Linked DNA regions of Drosophila melanogaster. The protein of the gene in region 2 interacts with the protein of the main gene of each other region in a pairwise test. Each region holds a gene or a part of one and is shown on either strand. Other genes may lie near its edges.

Evidence for each region.
Region 1: the proteins of Fum1 (region 2) and Gfrl interact in a two-hybrid assay, tested with the Drosophila melanogaster proteins (one large-scale study listed by BioGRID).
Region 3: the proteins of Fum1 (region 2) and a interact in a two-hybrid assay, tested with the Drosophila melanogaster proteins (one large-scale study listed by BioGRID).

The regions. Positions count from the first base shown.
Region 1 is NT_033777.3:20,446,479-20,451,727, reverse strand, and holds the start of Gfrl (glial cell line-derived neurotrophic family receptor-like), read left to right. Parts: upstream 1-2,040; 5' UTR 2,041-2,269; exon of another isoform or gene 2,270-2,283; intron 2,284-5,249.
Region 2 is NC_004354.4:6,676,640-6,682,596, reverse strand, and holds Fum1 (fumarase 1), read right to left. Parts: upstream 4,174-5,957; 5' UTR 4,068-4,173; coding exon 3,981-4,067; exon of another isoform or gene 3,479-3,980; intron 2,958-3,478; exon of another isoform or gene 2,840-2,957; coding exon of another isoform or gene 2,837-2,839; intron 2,772-2,836; coding exon 2,640-2,771; intron 2,300-2,639; coding exon 2,099-2,299; intron 2,030-2,098; coding exon 1,225-2,029; intron 1,161-1,224; coding exon 898-1,160; 3' UTR 762-897; downstream 1-761. Other genes in the region: Fum2 (fumarase 2), read right to left, coding at 1-91, 175-378, 463-627, 684-761; ND-ASHI (NADH dehydrogenase (ubiquinone) ASHI subunit), read left to right, coding at 4,513-4,597, 4,716-4,945, 5,022-5,234; Mcm6 (minichromosome maintenance 6), read right to left, coding at 5,638-5,957.
Region 3 is NT_033778.4:22,135,145-22,140,060, reverse strand, and holds the start of a (arc), read right to left. Parts: upstream 3,094-4,916; 5' UTR 2,853-3,093; intron 2,629-2,852; exon of another isoform or gene 2,062-2,628; 5' UTR 1,810-2,061; intron 1,167-1,809; exon of another isoform or gene 1,120-1,166; coding exon of another isoform or gene 796-1,119; exon of another isoform or gene 766-795; intron 127-765; exon of another isoform or gene 1-126. Other genes in the region: CG11269 (uncharacterized protein), read right to left, coding at 796-1,119.

The DNA.
Region 1 (5,249 bases), on a different chromosome or scaffold from region 2:
CGCTTACATATCCCGCCAGCAGCAGTTTTCCCTCACCCACTTCCTCACCGCAAAAAATAACATTTTCCTCGTCTTATTTTCTTTTTAGGTAAGCCCCGAAAAGAGTCCTATACTCCAAACGGTTCGCAGTGAGTAAAATATATCCTGCACTACCAAAAAAACACTTGTTTTCAATTAATTAGGCAAATGAACTAAAGCGCTTTATAAGTAAATTGAAAACAAGAAGTGGTAGGAAATCGTATTCGAATCAGGCACTAAGCATTTTCTTTTAACGGGCAGTGTAACAGGTAAAACAAATTGCTCCGAACCGAGCATAAATTAGCAATGGCAATGTAATTACACTTTCATTAGATTAAAATATCATAAGTGCCATAAAAATTAAGTTATGCCGAGGGGCGAGCACAATGGAAATGAAATAATCAGCTTACCTCGGCTGCGGGAAAACATAAAAGTCCGGCCGCACAAAAGAGCCTCGCCGTCGAGGAGCCACCGCGTTGCCAGGACACCGGCCAGGACTCATTGTTTTGGCAAGGAATCGCTTTGATTTCACGCGATAATTACAACGTGCTCCGCGAAGAATTATTCCGACTTGGGTTCGTGCAGCTATTCAGGTGGCAAACTTCGGGATCCTCAATCCCTGAGTCCGCCCACCAATTCTGGTGGAATCGGAGCGTTTCCTTGAGTCCTTTCGACGGCCAGTATTTATAGCCCCGGCGACATTTTGACATGCCGGGAGTGCCGACGCCCAGAGCCAATTTCTTGACCCCTGGCCAATTTTGACCCATTCTTTTAGGTCTTGCAAAGAGGAATTAATATTTTTGGAAACACTTATTACTCTCTGATTTATGGAAACTATGGTTTTATTTAACTAAACGTTAGTAAGGAGGTGTATTTCTCACATCTATATCTTGACTAGCTACAAACATTTATAGAAAAGATCATTTTAATTTTAAATTTGTATTAAATAAAAGATTCAATATTGCAAGACTTTTAGCATAAGTACGCAAAATTCCTTAATTTAAATAAAATATTTTAAAATTATCCCACCCAGCTTATTTCCATATATTTTGATACAAAACTCGATTGCATATCACGACATATAAATAATAAGCTGTGAAAGTATTTTCGGGAACTTTTGGGTTCATTTTTGTTGCGAATATTTTTTGTCGATGCCCTTTCATTTTTTAGTTCTAGCCAGCAAAATGGGCTGGCGGGTGTGGGTGAAGTGTCGAAGGGTTATCCTTTTTTGTGTGTGTTTCTTTTGCCAATTACCGCACGCTTCGTGAGGCATGGTCGCCGCTTCGGGCACTCGCTGCGTATACGTAATTTTTATTGGACACTCTCACGCGTCGTCATCCATCGTCTGCCGTCGTTTCCACCATCCATCCATTCGTTTTTGTGTCACGTCGTGAGCTTTTGGCTCGTACGCAGAGTCCTAGGCCAACACGAGAATTTTAATAAGAAATCTGATAAGTAAGCTCTAAATGCGTACGTTATTAAACAGAAGTCATTTGTATCTAATATCCATTAGGGTGACGTTTGTATAGCTTGATATCAAAACATAAAGCTTTAATAATATAAATTTAGAAATGTTCTCACTTACATACATAATTGAAGTCTATTATGGACTTGACATTTGAATAACGCTAACAATACGTTTTTGTATATTAAAATACCAAAAGTACTTATAATTTTGCAAAACTACAGTAAACTTTTTAAAGGAAATGTTTAAAATGGAATAGAACTTGCGAAGCGAGTGACTTTCGATACAAGACCTTGTTTCCTACAGTTTGAGAGTCATACTCTGCTTATTCCACGAAAAAAACGAGAATGGAGAGGGAACTTACTCGCCGAATGTGCAACCAAAACAAAACGGATAATTGTTAGTGTCCTTTCTCTCTTTTACTCTCAGCTGGAAATCTCTGACTTTACAGCTGTTATTTGGACTGTTAATTTACATTTGCCGATGGCCCAGAGAACTCGGAGCCGAGTCCTTAGAGCTTCGTGCGGTGAAAGGACCCGACTTCGTACGGGCCAAACAGTTTTCGACTGAGACTCGTGACGAACGGACGCGCGGCCAATGGCAAGCGGGCAGTGCGATTCAATTCGATGCGAATTCGACTCTAGCGGAAGCGGAAATACGAATGCCAGCGAATTGCCAATGGCACGGCTGATATGTGTGCGTGCCGCGAGCGAGGATCGTCGAGTCGAGTGAATGGAATATCCAGAAACGTCGATCGCAATCTTCGAGTCAACACGGAGCTAAGCTGTAAATCATAAAGTGTCAGTCAGAAAAACCAACAAAAATCAGTCGAGTGTGCTTTCTTCGCCCGAGATTTGTGCCACTGCATACTATAGCCCATAGTATATAATTTAATTTGCCAAATGTGTTGGAAAATTGTATGGCCCGGCGAAGGGGAAAGTGGCAAGCAAAGGAAAACTCCGAGCAGCAGCTGGCAGTGCCGCACGGCTTACTGCTTACTGCTTATGCTGGTAATGGGTTAATGCGGTTGAGCACTCGCATGCCTTCACGCTTATCCCCCCACCACCCATTGCCCCTCTTCCATCTCACATCGCTCCGAAAAAGCAAATATTTCATGTTATTTACCTAGGTGCGCCACTTTCGTTAATTGTATGCAAAAAAGTTGCCAACCTTATCCCCTCCCACCACACTATGGCACACTCTCCGTGTGTGAGTGAAGTGAAGTTTTTGGCTCAGGTTTATTCGCTACAACAACTTTCGGGTGGCTGGTTCAATTACAAACCCCTGGCCCACGGCCCACAGCCCACAGCCCACGGCCCATCGCATATCGCCTGCCGCACTATTTCCGCTCTAAAATTTGAGCCAACTTGCCGTTGCCAGCTGGGCTCCTCTTGGTTTAGTACTGTTTCAGCAAAGCAAAACCTGTTCCTGCGACGTTGCTGCGCCTCACTTAGTAAATAAATTGGCAATCGCATTTAATGTGAGTTTATGTGCGTCGATACCTTGGGTCGACTGCTCGGCTCGGCTCCTCTACTCTGCCATTTGGTAGTTATTTCTTTTTTTTCGGTTTCTTGGCTCGTGCTCATGTGCAAATCGTAAATTCACGTTAATGCCGAAATTTCACGTGATAATGACGTGATTACCTGGCGCACACACACACACAGGCCCACAATGTGGCGATCCATGCACATGTCTCCATGTCCCCATGTCCTCATGTCTCACCATGTCGCCTGCCTATCCTTGTCTGCCAGGACTAGGGGCATAAATACGTAACATCCAACTGGGAACTTGGTACTGGTAACTGGTAACTGCTAACTGGGAACTGGTAACTAGGAACTCACTCCGATGGCAGCTCAACTGAAAAATGAGTGCCCCTAAAATAGTTGCAATGCATTCAACTGAATCGGAGTGCGGTGGTAGTCCTGGCCGGGAATTTCTGGTTAGGCCCAAGCGTAAAATTGTTGGCGTAGTTCCCAAGTGCTGTTCAATGAGTTGGAGTTGAAATTGCTGCAATTGTTCAGTGCCACCGCTCCATTCGTCGTAATCCATTCCCAATTTAAATGGCAAAGGGGTTCTGTTCTGATTTTTTTTAAAGCGTTGCCTAACTGTCTCAAAGTTTCTTTGCAATCGCGTAATTTGGCCGTATTCTTTGCGTTTTATTTGCAACTTTTTAATTACTTTTGAGTAGCGATTTGAACTTTGCGCCTGTCGCCCGTTTACACTCTAATTAAGCGGCCCATTCAAGGGCTCTGTATTTTGTATTTATATCCTTTTGCTCCTGCTCCTGTTTCTTATCGCGCCAAGTAAAAGAAGTTCTCGGCTTTTAAATGCAGCTGTCGCAAGTTGGTGGCGCTTTAAACGTTCGCTGGCATTTCCGTTTCCGTTAAATCGCTCCTAAGCCAGTTTGTTAGTTTTACCTTGACATTTTATGCAGTTTTTCTCGGTGTTATATGTATGTATTTTTTCTAGCTACCTTTTGTGTGCCTTTGTTTTGCTTGTTACCTGCGCGCAATTTTTTCTAGGTACACAGAAAAAATAATCTTAAAGAGATTACGAGATTATGATACCACCTAACTTACATTTGGATGTATAAATAAATTTTCTCATAACTTAGGTCTAGCCAGTTTTCACTTTAGTGGAGTGTTAATAAATTTGTTAAGTTAAATAAATTAACTTACAAAAAAAAAAAAAAAGTTCAAAGAATATCGGTTTCTGACTTCATTCTTTGTGGTCAATCTGGGACATGCCATTATTTAGATACTTTTTGTTTCAGCTACATAAATTGTATTTATTTTGTGAACAACAAAAGAAGTACGCGAAGGTACGCAACTCCAAAGTGAATTATTTCGCCGTGTGTAGTGGCGATGGCAGCAGCTGCTTGTGGAACAACTTTAACATTATTTGCTTTGCTGCAACACTCCCCCGCACCCTGCTCAGCGATCCGTGGCCTTTGTTCGTCTCCGGACTCCTTTCACTTTGAGTTCCCCGCTGTCCGCACCCGAATCATGAATCATTTCTGCCGCTGCACCCACCAACTCCCATCAGCTCCTGCCGTCCTTTTGGCCACATCTAAGTGTTGTTTAATGCAGCTTTTCAACTCATTCGCTTTGACATACACGTGTGTGCCGTGTATGGTTCTGGGTTCCGGCTTCCACTTTCAACTTTCTACTTTTTATTTGCCAACCTTCCAACCTTGGTGCCTTTGCATGTAGCATCAGATTTGCTTATGCAAATGCGTCGCCGAGAAGGGGATTTGCCATTTGCACCGCTCGTCCTCGATCGAAATGTTTACGGTTTCTATTCGAAGAGGGCTGATGTCATAGCTTGTCGATGGCCAGTTTAAATAATTGCCACCGCAATAAATTATTAAATCAACAACAATTACTCACTGGCCGGCCAAAGGGAATCAATCAATGCTTGTGGGGGAGTCGAAAATCGAGTGAAATTAAGTGATGTGGAGTGGAGTGGATTCATAAGCTGACAAAATGCCAGCTCACTCCATGCACCGTAGGTGTATTATAACGAGTTTCATGACAGCAATTATGCGAGGTCGGCACCGCACTCCTCCGCACACACACAAACACACACTCCCGCACATATGAATACTTATTATTACGCATACGCAGTGGTGCCGGAGCAGGCTAATGTGTGGTTTGGGCGTTGCTTTTCGAGGGCTTTGTAATCGATATTACAATGGCATTGTGTTAGGGCCTCGATATGCTGGCAGTACAGGTATTTTTTCAGCCTTTTTATCGCTCCCTGCACC
Region 2 (5,957 bases):
TCTGCGACTTGTTCACATGATCGTTGGGATGCACCGGCTTCTTGCTGCCCAGTTCGCCGCCCATCATCTTAATGGCCGCATTGCTGATCACCTAGTAGGTTTGCCAATGGCATGGGGCAGGAGAAGCATCCAGCTATACACATTTCTCTCGTTAGCCCTATCTAACAATCTTACCTCGTTGGTGTTCATATTGGTCTGGGTGCCCGAACCGGTTTGCCAGATGACCAATGGGAAGTGACCCTGTTTGTATAGCTTGCCGGAAATGACATCGTCGCAGGCGCAGGATACGGCATCCGACACCTTGCCATCTAGTCCGTAATCCTTGTTGACCTCGGCACATGCCTTCTTCAGTATGCCCATGGCCTGGATCACCGGCATCTGCGGGCAGTTTGGGGATTAATTGGCTATGGCAAAGCACTTGGTAGATGCCAGAATATGTTGGTTGGTTGGTTGGTTGCCTACCGGCATACGTTCGCCTATGTCGCCAATGGGAAAATTCAATTTGGAGCGCATCGTCTGTGCGCCGTACAGCTTGTCCGCCGGCACCTTTAGCTCCCCGAAGGTGTCCTTCTCCGTACGAAACTTGCCATTCTCCTTGCCCTTGCCGCCCTTACCGCCACTGTCGCACTGCAAAGATGCCCCATGTAGCCATGAGTTGCCAGCGACCATTGTCGCGTACTTACATCCTTGGCACGGAGGCCACTGCAAACCACCCAGAGATTGCGCCTAGCCAGATGCAGACCATTGTTTTGCTTCAGCATTTTCAATTATTATTGGTTCTGTGTTTCCGAGCGATTCATATACAACAAAACGATCTGATCTAGAAAATCACACTGCGATTCCGATGACAGCGATGATTGAATGATGGATTTCGTCGTCGGCCTACTTGGCTCCACTTCACTTGGGTCCCAGCATCTGTTCGGGTCGCACCCAGTCGTTGAACTGCTGCTCCGTCAGGTAACCCAAATTGATGGCCTCCTCCTTGAGTGTGGTGCCATTCTTGTGCGCCGTCTTTGCAATTTTCGCAGCCTTGTCGTAACCAATGTGCGGATTCAGAGCGGTCACCAGCATGAGCGACTCGTTCATGATCTTGGCAATATTCTCGCGGTTCGCCTGGATGCCATTCACACAGTTGGCAGTGAAGGTCCTGCTGCCATCAGCTACAAAAAGGAATAGATTCGATTGATTTGGCGTTCCACCAAGGGTGGGTAATAGGTAGCTTACACAATAGCCGAATGGAGCGCAGCACATTGGACACGATCAGGGGCTTGAATACATTCAGCTCGAAGTGCCCATTGGATCCACCGATGGTCACCGCCACCTGATTGCCCATCACCTGGGCGGAGAGCATTGTCAGCGACTCGCATTGCGTGGGATTCACCTTGCCGGGCATGATGGAGCTACCTGGCTCGTTCTCCGGTAGCGAGAGCTCACCCAAACCGCAACGCGGTCCGGAGCCAAGGAAACGAATATCGTTGGCAATCTTCATCAGGCTAACGGCGATCGTGTTGAGCACACCATGCACCTCCACCATGGCATCGCGGGCAGCCAGTGCCTCGAACTTGTTGGGCGCGGTAACGAAGGGCAGGCTGGTCAGCTCGGCGATCTTTGCAGCGCACTTCTCGGCGAATCCCTTGCGTGTGTTCAGACCCGTACCCACAGCAGTGCCGCCCAGAGCCAGCTCATAGACGCGCGGCAGACAGGCATCGATGCGCTCCTGGGCGTAGGCCAATTGCTGGGCATAGCCGCTGAACTCTTGGCCCAGCGTCAATGGCACCGCATCCATCGTATGCGTGCGTCCGATCTTGATAATGTCCTTGAACTCCTCCGACTTGGCACGCAGCGCATCGTGCAGCGTCTTAATCGCCGGCTTAAGGTTGTTGTTCAGCTCCAGCGCCACCGAGATGTGAATGGCGGTGGGGAAGGTATCGTTGGAGCTCTGCGATTTGTTCACATGATCGTTGGGATGCACGGGCGTCTTGGAGCCCAGTTTGCCGCCCAGCAGCTCAATGGCACGATTGCTGATCACCTTGAGAGTTAGAGAGTTAGAGGAGATTTGAGAATAGTGCAAATGAAACAAATGACCGCTCATGCCCACCTCATTCACATTCATGTTGCTCTGCGTGCCCGAGCCCGTCTGCCAGATGACCAGCGGGAAGTGGTCGTCGTATAGCTTGCCAGAGATCACATCGTCGGCCGCCTTCGAGATCGCCTCGCTAACCTTGCTGTCCAGTCCGAACTCCTTGTTCACCTCGGCGGCGGCCTTCTTCAGGATGCCCATGGCCTGGACCACGGGTTTCTGGCGGGGATTAACGAGAGTTTTAGTTGCTTTCAATGTGTTTTCTTCTTATTTTTTACTTTACGCAACATACTTGTGTGTTATGTTAATGTAGTTAATACATTTTTTAGACTTTAACTTTCTATAGACTCTGAATTACAATGAACAAACTCATTGAACTAGCATTCACCATTTGTTCTGCTTTCTGTAATAGAAGCTTAATTTAAGCCATATTTTACTTAGTAATTAGCTAGACCTTGCTGCTTTTTGAACCTTCAATGCTGACTTTTAAATACTTTCGAAAGATTTACGTGAGAATTATATGTATACGTAGATGGAGGCAGTGGGGGGCACTACTTACGGGCATCCGTTCGGTGGCTCCGCCGATGGGGAAATTGATCTGGGATCGCATCGTTTGGGCGCCATAGTACTTATCCGCGGGCACCTTCAGTTCGCCAAAGGTGTCGCTCTCCACGCGAAACTCCTGGGAGGCCTGTCGATGCGAATGAATCCGATAAGAATGGCTATAATTATCAGTAAGTAAACACAGGGGCAGACCATTTCAGATGCAGATATGACAGATAGTAAGTAAGTGAAGCCAAATTGAGACTATGGCAATCAGAGTGAACAAATCAGAGGACGACCACTCGACGACGGCTGCTGCTCGATGTTAACTGAGGCGTGCTCGGGCATTGAAAGGCAGAGGCGATAAGCTAGGGGGATTCAAAACCAAAAAGCCGAGTGTACAACGAACAGATTCTTGAAAGAGCGCTCTCAACGAGCGAACTTCCCGCAGAATTGGTGGGAGGTGTTGAATGCCCGAGCACTGGGCGCTGAATATGAAAGACCCAACTTGGGCATGGGGTGCACACAGCAGGGGGCACGAAAGTAGTGCGAGGATCTCGAACTATATTTGTGTATATATGTATATTGTATGCATAATAATTGCAATAGCAATTCTATAAAAACAGACTGATTCGAACTTTTGCATTTCCAGTGCTATTCATGTGACCAGCGCTGTTCCTCGGGATTTATGGGTGGAATTTACGCCGGACTGTAGCTCTACTATCTAGTGTCTTATATACATATGTTTTATATGCAGCATTATCTGAATAATCGGTAGTGTATTACAGTGGTCGTTCATTCATCTAGTACCATATATAATTAACCGGTTTTAATTCAATTGCCGAAAAAAAAAAACAAGAATTCGCTGACTAGCACAATTTCTTGAATTACAACTCGTTTCGCGAGTTTATGGTTCTCTCTTTTCCCTTTTTTTTTCAACGCCGTGAGTTTGTTTTGTTTTCAATCATGTGATTTGAGTTTTGAGTGCGAAATGAAAATAAAAAACGTTTGCGAAAATTGAGTGAAAAAATCAATGCGACGGCTTCCAATTGGAGTCGCGCGCCAATTGGAGTTTCGTCCACAAGTGGTCGCAGTGGTGTGCCAATTGGAACGTCCGTTCCAGCGCCTGGAAGTCGCTCGCCTCCGCTTTCCATTGTGTAATGATTACGAAACGCCGGCATTTGTGCACTTTTCATTGGCATTTCTGCTCGCCGCGCCTTGTTTACAATCAAAAAAATAACATATTTTGGAGTTATTAGCCGCTGCATGGGCGAATCTAGCATTACATAAGGCAAAATATTTTTGCCATCTCGCTACAAAATATATATCCAATTTGCACAGCACTTGGAATCCTTACCAGACGCAAACTTCCAATGGCGGCCCAGGGTTTCGTCATTTGTTGAACGCCGCGAAGCGTGGAGCGTTGCAATAATGGTAGCACCATCTCTATGCTTATTCCTTAGTCGGTAATTAATAAATAAGTTTGCAAGCAAGTGATCTTTCACGGACGAGCCCACCACAACAACACCAACAACAACAAAAAACAACAACAGCACCTCGATGCGCGGGTGAGAGCTATCGGACCATCGATTGTTCTTATCGACTTTGTAACGATTGCTGCCTAAGTTCATAAAAATTGAGAAACAAAAATCCTAAACATTTTTAAGAAACACCTAGTTACCTTAGTACTAACTGTAAATTCCTATTCCATAGCTAACAAATTTAAAATCTGTTGATAGTTCTATTTGTTTTTTTTGAAACTACAACTATCGATAGCAGACCGTTGCGGCACTGTATCCTATCGTTTGTGTGCCATCCGCAGGCGAACAGCTGTTTTTTCGGGAATCGTAACTTCAGAGGAACTTTTTTTTAGTGGAAACAAGCCTGCAATGTCGGCGTTTGTGAAAACCGTGTGCTTGGCCCAAAAGCTGTGCGCCGCCAATCCCGTCGTGGCTCGCCAGGCGATCCGCAGCAGTAAGTGTGAATCGGGGCTGCGCTGGCAACAGTGCAACCTGCCCCACTGTTTTGTTTACGTAACTTTTGCATGCACCGAATGGCTACAAATTCGAATTTCTCGCCATTTACGTTTTAGTGGCTGGCTGGAATAAGGACTACAAGCCGGGTCCGTATCCACAGACGGAGAAGGAGCGCCTGGCGGCGGCCAAGAAGTACTATCTGTTGCCGGAGGAGTACAAACCGTATGCGGACGATGGTCTGGGCTACGGAGATTATCCCAAATTGGGCTACGGTCTGGGTGTGGAGGCCAAGGACTCGTACTATCCCTGGGACTATCCGGAGCACAAGCGCAACCAACACGAGCCCGTAAGCGCCAACATCAACGGCTAGCAGCAGCTGCTGCATAAAAAAAGAGTCAAACCCTGATCCATTTCCATTGCAGATCTCGGCGGATCATGATCTGTACAGCGAGGATCGCTGGTCGCAGGCCGAACCGCCACGCTACAGCAATGCGTACTACTTTGCCTGCTTCCTGGGCGTGATGTCCGGCTGCCTGGCACTCTACTACTGGCTGGATGACAAGAAGATGTACCGCCCCGTGGCCGCCAAGCAATATCCCAGCCCTGGCGTCAAGCACTACACCTTCGAGAAGTAGGATTGTATCTATCACGCTCTCGATCGCACTGCGCGCCTCGTTTTTATTTCATAGGCAATTAATCAACGCATCTATACAATTAAAATGAATGGAAACCAAGCTAAAACATGGATTTGCTATCATTTTGACTGCGCATGTTGGGTTGCATTTTTCATTCCGTTCTTAATGAGCAGCAAAAAACGAAATGAATCTTGAGATGAACGTTTATTTCGGCGAAAACATGAATGATTTGGAACGTAACTGAACCAAGAAATCCTTAATGGATTTCAATAATGTCTCTAAACTATAAACTTACTGCCTAAATACATTGTTTGTTTGGGTGAGCAAAAAAAAGCAAGACGCGGAAACAGAAACTTAACCAGCTAGATTTAGGGCATAGTAATAAACTGTTGATCGGCTGGGATCACTCCACAACGTAGTTGGGATGCACCACCAGCAGGGGATCGTCCTCCTCCACGAAATCCTTTTGTACCTGAATTCTCGGCTTCAGCGTGGATGTCTTGAGCGGAATAATGACCTGATCGTGATAGATGAGGCGATCGATAAGCTTCTCGATGAGATTTTTGCGAGAAATTAACTCATCCTCGGATTCGATTTGGTCCGCCACCTGCTCCAGATACCAGGTGACCACATTGCTGCGCTTGATGCCCGTATCGTTGCCCTCCACCTCGCAGCGCGCCTCCTCGGCGCGCATATGCAACACCAGCATGGTGGACAGATTCT
Region 3 (4,916 bases), on a different chromosome or scaffold from region 2:
TTCGCGTCACAAACTTAAAAATCTCAATTTGATGTCAATATCAAATGTTTCTGAATTGAACCACTTTTCTACGAGTGTGTTTCATAGATTCGTAAAAAATACGATTCTACATCTGCATAAGAAATTGTACGGTCTCTCGGGTGGCACAATTATATAGAAGACCATCCATGGAGGAAATTTAGAATATTTCCCAGGTATTGCCAGATCTCCAAATCAGTTAACCCGAGTTCCCGAAAAAATGAGTAAATGCAGTGAACCAGTTTTCAGCAGACTGCACTTGGTTGGTGGTGATAACAAGCCAGATACACAAGCGTACAACTAGAAAATCGTGTACGATAATTTACACAACGGTTTTCGTGTAAGACACAAAAGCTCGGTCGATAAGAACAAGATACATAACCCCGGTGTAGACTAGACTACGGTATAGAGGTGAAAGGGGGGGGAATAGCCAGAACTGGGAACCCACACCCCATTCCCATTAGCATGTTTCGGAAAGAGAATTTCACGGAAATTTATGATGCCCAAAAGAGAACACACCTCGGTGAAGGTGTCACGTGCGCTGTCAAAAATCGGTTGGTCCGAGACGAATGCATAATGCGGAGTGGACAACAGTCAGCCAGACTTGAAATCGAAAAGTGGCTTGGCGATAAAGAAGTTAAGGCTAATCGCAGAATGCGGTCAACAAACTGGTTCTTTCGATCTTTCGAACCAACAAGTGGGTGGACGTCGCTGAGTGGGTGAAATGCAATTGGAACCATGAAAATAAATTGTTTATTCAATAACCAATCATACAAATCAACGACGGAATCGCAAGTGACCGGGACCCCGCTTGTAGAGTCGCTTCCTTCTCTTGTTATCCCGACGAATGGCCACTATCGCAATGAAGACGAATCCCAGATAGAAAACGGCGGCTACAAAGCACCGTGTGGACACGTCCTGGTAGGCCTCGTCCGCCTGCTCCTTGAAGGCCTCCTGACTGGGGAAGTGGTGGGGCAAGGGCAGGGACTCCAGGAGCATCAGTGACTGGACGTAGAAGAAGATACCCAGCAGATTCAGCATCAAGAAGCCCCAGGCGCTCATGAACAGGCAGAACAGACAGCACTTGCGACCACAAAACATTTTCAAGCTCGATTCAATTCTATGCGAACTTTGTGCGACAGTGTAGTCGAGTGTTGCTCTGACCGCAACAGGTGCCAAGTTTAAGCCGACTTCGAAAGCGAAACCGAATCCGAAATCGAAATCGGAATGTATTGGACCACATACTATTCATCCATCTATCTACATACGCTCGTACACAAGTACAACCTTGTGCGATTTCAGCGGCATTAGATCAGAGTGGTCGGAATATGGAGTTCACGTACCCGTGCCTCTCGCTTTCGGCGGCGTTGCGATTGGGTTTGTTCAACTCGAAATGGCTTAGATTCGGATTTGATCTTAGCCAATGATGGACAACTGACAGATATATCATTTGCACACATACATATGAGTATGATATAGAAGCAGCTCAACTTATTAACACTTGAAAAGCACGTCAAAAAAACGATGTATACAATATACTTCAGAACATCAAGCTTATGCAGAACGAAGACCTGCAATATATTTGATATTTCAAATCAGTGGCTGCATTTAGTTCTGCGTATTTATATATCAGAAGTGATTTTTAGAGAACTGAATGTAGGCCATGCCAACCAAGTAGCTGATTCATTAAAGGGCAGCCTCTGATTTGAATTCCCCTTGTGAATCATGCTCAAGAAATTGCAATAAAAATAGCCAACTAAATAAGTTTAAGCAATAATTAGCACAACTTACCGTGAGTGGTTGATGTTCTCGATAAATCCGCAGAGCAACAAAATTTTTGCCACACTTGCAAAGAAGAAGCAGCAGAAGAATTCACAATAAAGTTTTTACTAGTTTCTTGAAACTCCGTTACAAAACATCAAGTTGTTGTGAAAATTCGTAAGTCGTTTTCGCGGTTGCTAAACCTTTTTTACACTCTGTTGTTTTACTAACGTTTCCTTTATTATGTTTGTTTATGCGAATTGTCGTTAGTTTTATGGGTTACTAGACACGATTAGAGAGAAATCAAAAATTAGGAAAATTAAACAGAATTGATAAAATATTTTTTACTTATTGCACCACGTGTTGCAACTTGAGACATAATAGGTGTCAGCTCTAATTGAGTAAATATGTTTTGCTGGTAACTTAAGCTGCGGATTTCGTACAGCCACAGAAAATGGGGGTCAAGTCCATTAGGTTAAAACCCGATCCCCAAGCGAAAGACCTTGACATTAGGGCGGTTGCTCACTGAACTTGGTAATATCTTAAGTGTCTCGAATTCCCTTTGCGCAAATCAATCAACTTGTCTTATGAGAGCACGAAGAAAAATGAAAATAAGATCACTACATTTTTATTTAAATGATATTTCATAGCTTATTGATATATTTCTAATGAGTATTAACCTAAAGTTTGATCTTATATTTCAAGAGACGGATGTCAAAATATTATTCTTCGCTGATTATTTTCTCAGTGTGGGATTTCAGTTACAGTTATATGGTTGTTATTTGCCTTATTTGCTTAGCACATTCTTCTTTACAATCACACAGACACTTGCTTTGATTTGTGTATTCGTTTTTGTTGTAAGCGCAATTATCAGTACAAACATTTATAATAAAAAAAATTGCAATTTCAACAAAAAAAAGTGTTTAGCTTTCAGTTTAACTTTTAGCTTGAATTTGTTAATGTCTTCACTGAATTTTATTTGTGCTTTATGAAAATATAATGTACACACTGATAAGAGAATAATTCATTTTATGCTATAATAATTCACTTTATATATTTATTGTTTCTCTCACGTTTGTGATTCGCTTTGGGCATTTGTTGTTAAATCGGTTTGTTTCGCACTTTGGGACACTTCTCGATATTTAAACATAACATGTTTTTACGAATTCGCTTCTCGAAAACCGGTATGCAAATCCAAAAATCACCGCAATATATTCAAAACTATTTAATTGTATTTATCGAATTCTTCGTGCACCTTCACTTCGAGTTCTCGACTCCGATGCGACCGCCGCGCTACGAAAACAAAGATTGAACACGAGTTGCCTTGCGATGTGGCTTAAATAGTTTGCCTCTCTCGCTCGCGTCGCTCAACGAGAGATGAGAACGAGTCTCTCCAAAACACAAATTTTAAGAGAAGAGCACCAAAGCATAAAATCTGAAAAGAGAAAGGTAAAATTTTAAGCTCTTGTTATACCTCTTTCTTTCACTAATTGCATTTTTATTTTTAACTTATTTATAATTAGAATTAACATATAATTAATAATATATTAATAATTATTATTATAATTTATTGTTTAATATAATTGTAATGATTATAATTATAAACAATAAGTAAGAACTTAAATTTTTTTTTCTTTTTTTCATCCTTCATCAGATAAAGTAACTTTTTTTTAATTTTCTTAGTTATTACCATTCTCTTTAAATATTATTTCTCGTTCTACGATAATTATTTCAATTATGATTTAAATTGCATGCATTATGAGTGCACTTAGTAATCAAGTAGTACAGTAAGTAAATGCACTGACCAAGTGCCTTAATCGAGTCAGTCACTCAATTTGCTTCGCTTAATGTCATAGGTAAAGGTAAGCGGGCATGTGAAGGACAACTACTACCCACTGGCGCACCACCCACTGGAAAACCACCCACTTGAAAAACGCCCACCCATTGTTTCGGGTGGATACTTCTGAATGCAGTCCGTTTGGCATTCAAATTTAGTGCAAAAGGGCAAAGTGTTTTCACTCTTATCTTTCAATGTCAGTAGAAAAACTTTACAATGTACATACGGCAGCAAAACGAAAATAGAACTAGAAATCAATAAATTAAGATTATATTTTCCATATATAAATGCAATCACTTAATCTATAGTAATTTGCCAAATCAAACATGAACAAAATAAGGCGCATCAAAGATACATATAAGTATTCGTGATTCCTAGCAGTGTAACTACCAAAGTCTATTCATATTCTTTGCTCTTTGGGCAAAAACACTTTCCTTAGTTAATGCTTCCCACTCGTCAGCCAATTAAAGCCTCACTTTTATGGCGAATTAATCGTGCTCGCTCAGAGCTATTTAAGCCTTATTAAAAGCAGATCTCCGAGCGATTCTGTTCCAATCTGTCCGCTACCGAATTGGCCAAATCCGCTTAATAGTTTGGCTCTAAAAGGCCGGCGTTTGATGTGGGATCGAAGCGAACTATCGATTACCAGATTGGGCTAACAAAAGTTTTCGTTTTCGCATCGCGGATTTCCGCTCCCAAGCTACTAGAGTTTCCATACTATCGATCAACAAGTGGCGTCTCAGATCAGAAGAAGGTCATTCGATACCCCGCCACCGCCGTCAGGATGGGAAAAGGGGTTAGCCCCCGAGTCTGGCGATTAGCATGTTAAGCCAACTGTTCGCGGCGGCTGTTTAAGGTCTATAATTAAGCGACATAAACTTGGGTATTAGGCGCTAAATACACAGAGAAACAAAAAAGTAAAGTAAACCCCTCGAGTGATAAAGCAGGGGGCGGGGCGACGTTGGGGGAGGAGGTGCGCCTCTTCTCGATTTGCATAACTGTTCGTTTAGGCACAGAAGTCGGGGGCTATGGATATGCTTTGGGTCTGGGTTTGGGCCTGGTTATGGGAGTTGGCAGGGGTATTGGTATGGCTATCGGTATGGGCTGCATTCGAAAAACAGACGGACGGCATATGAAAACGGAGGCAAACACACGCACACACCTGAATTTACCTGGCCACTGCACCTGTCCACATAAGCGACCTCATCGTTGGGCTTTCATTTGCTGCTAGGAAAGAGTAAATAGCGCGCGTTGCTACTTATCCGCAGAAAGTAGTAGTAGGTAGTAGTGTATTATAAAA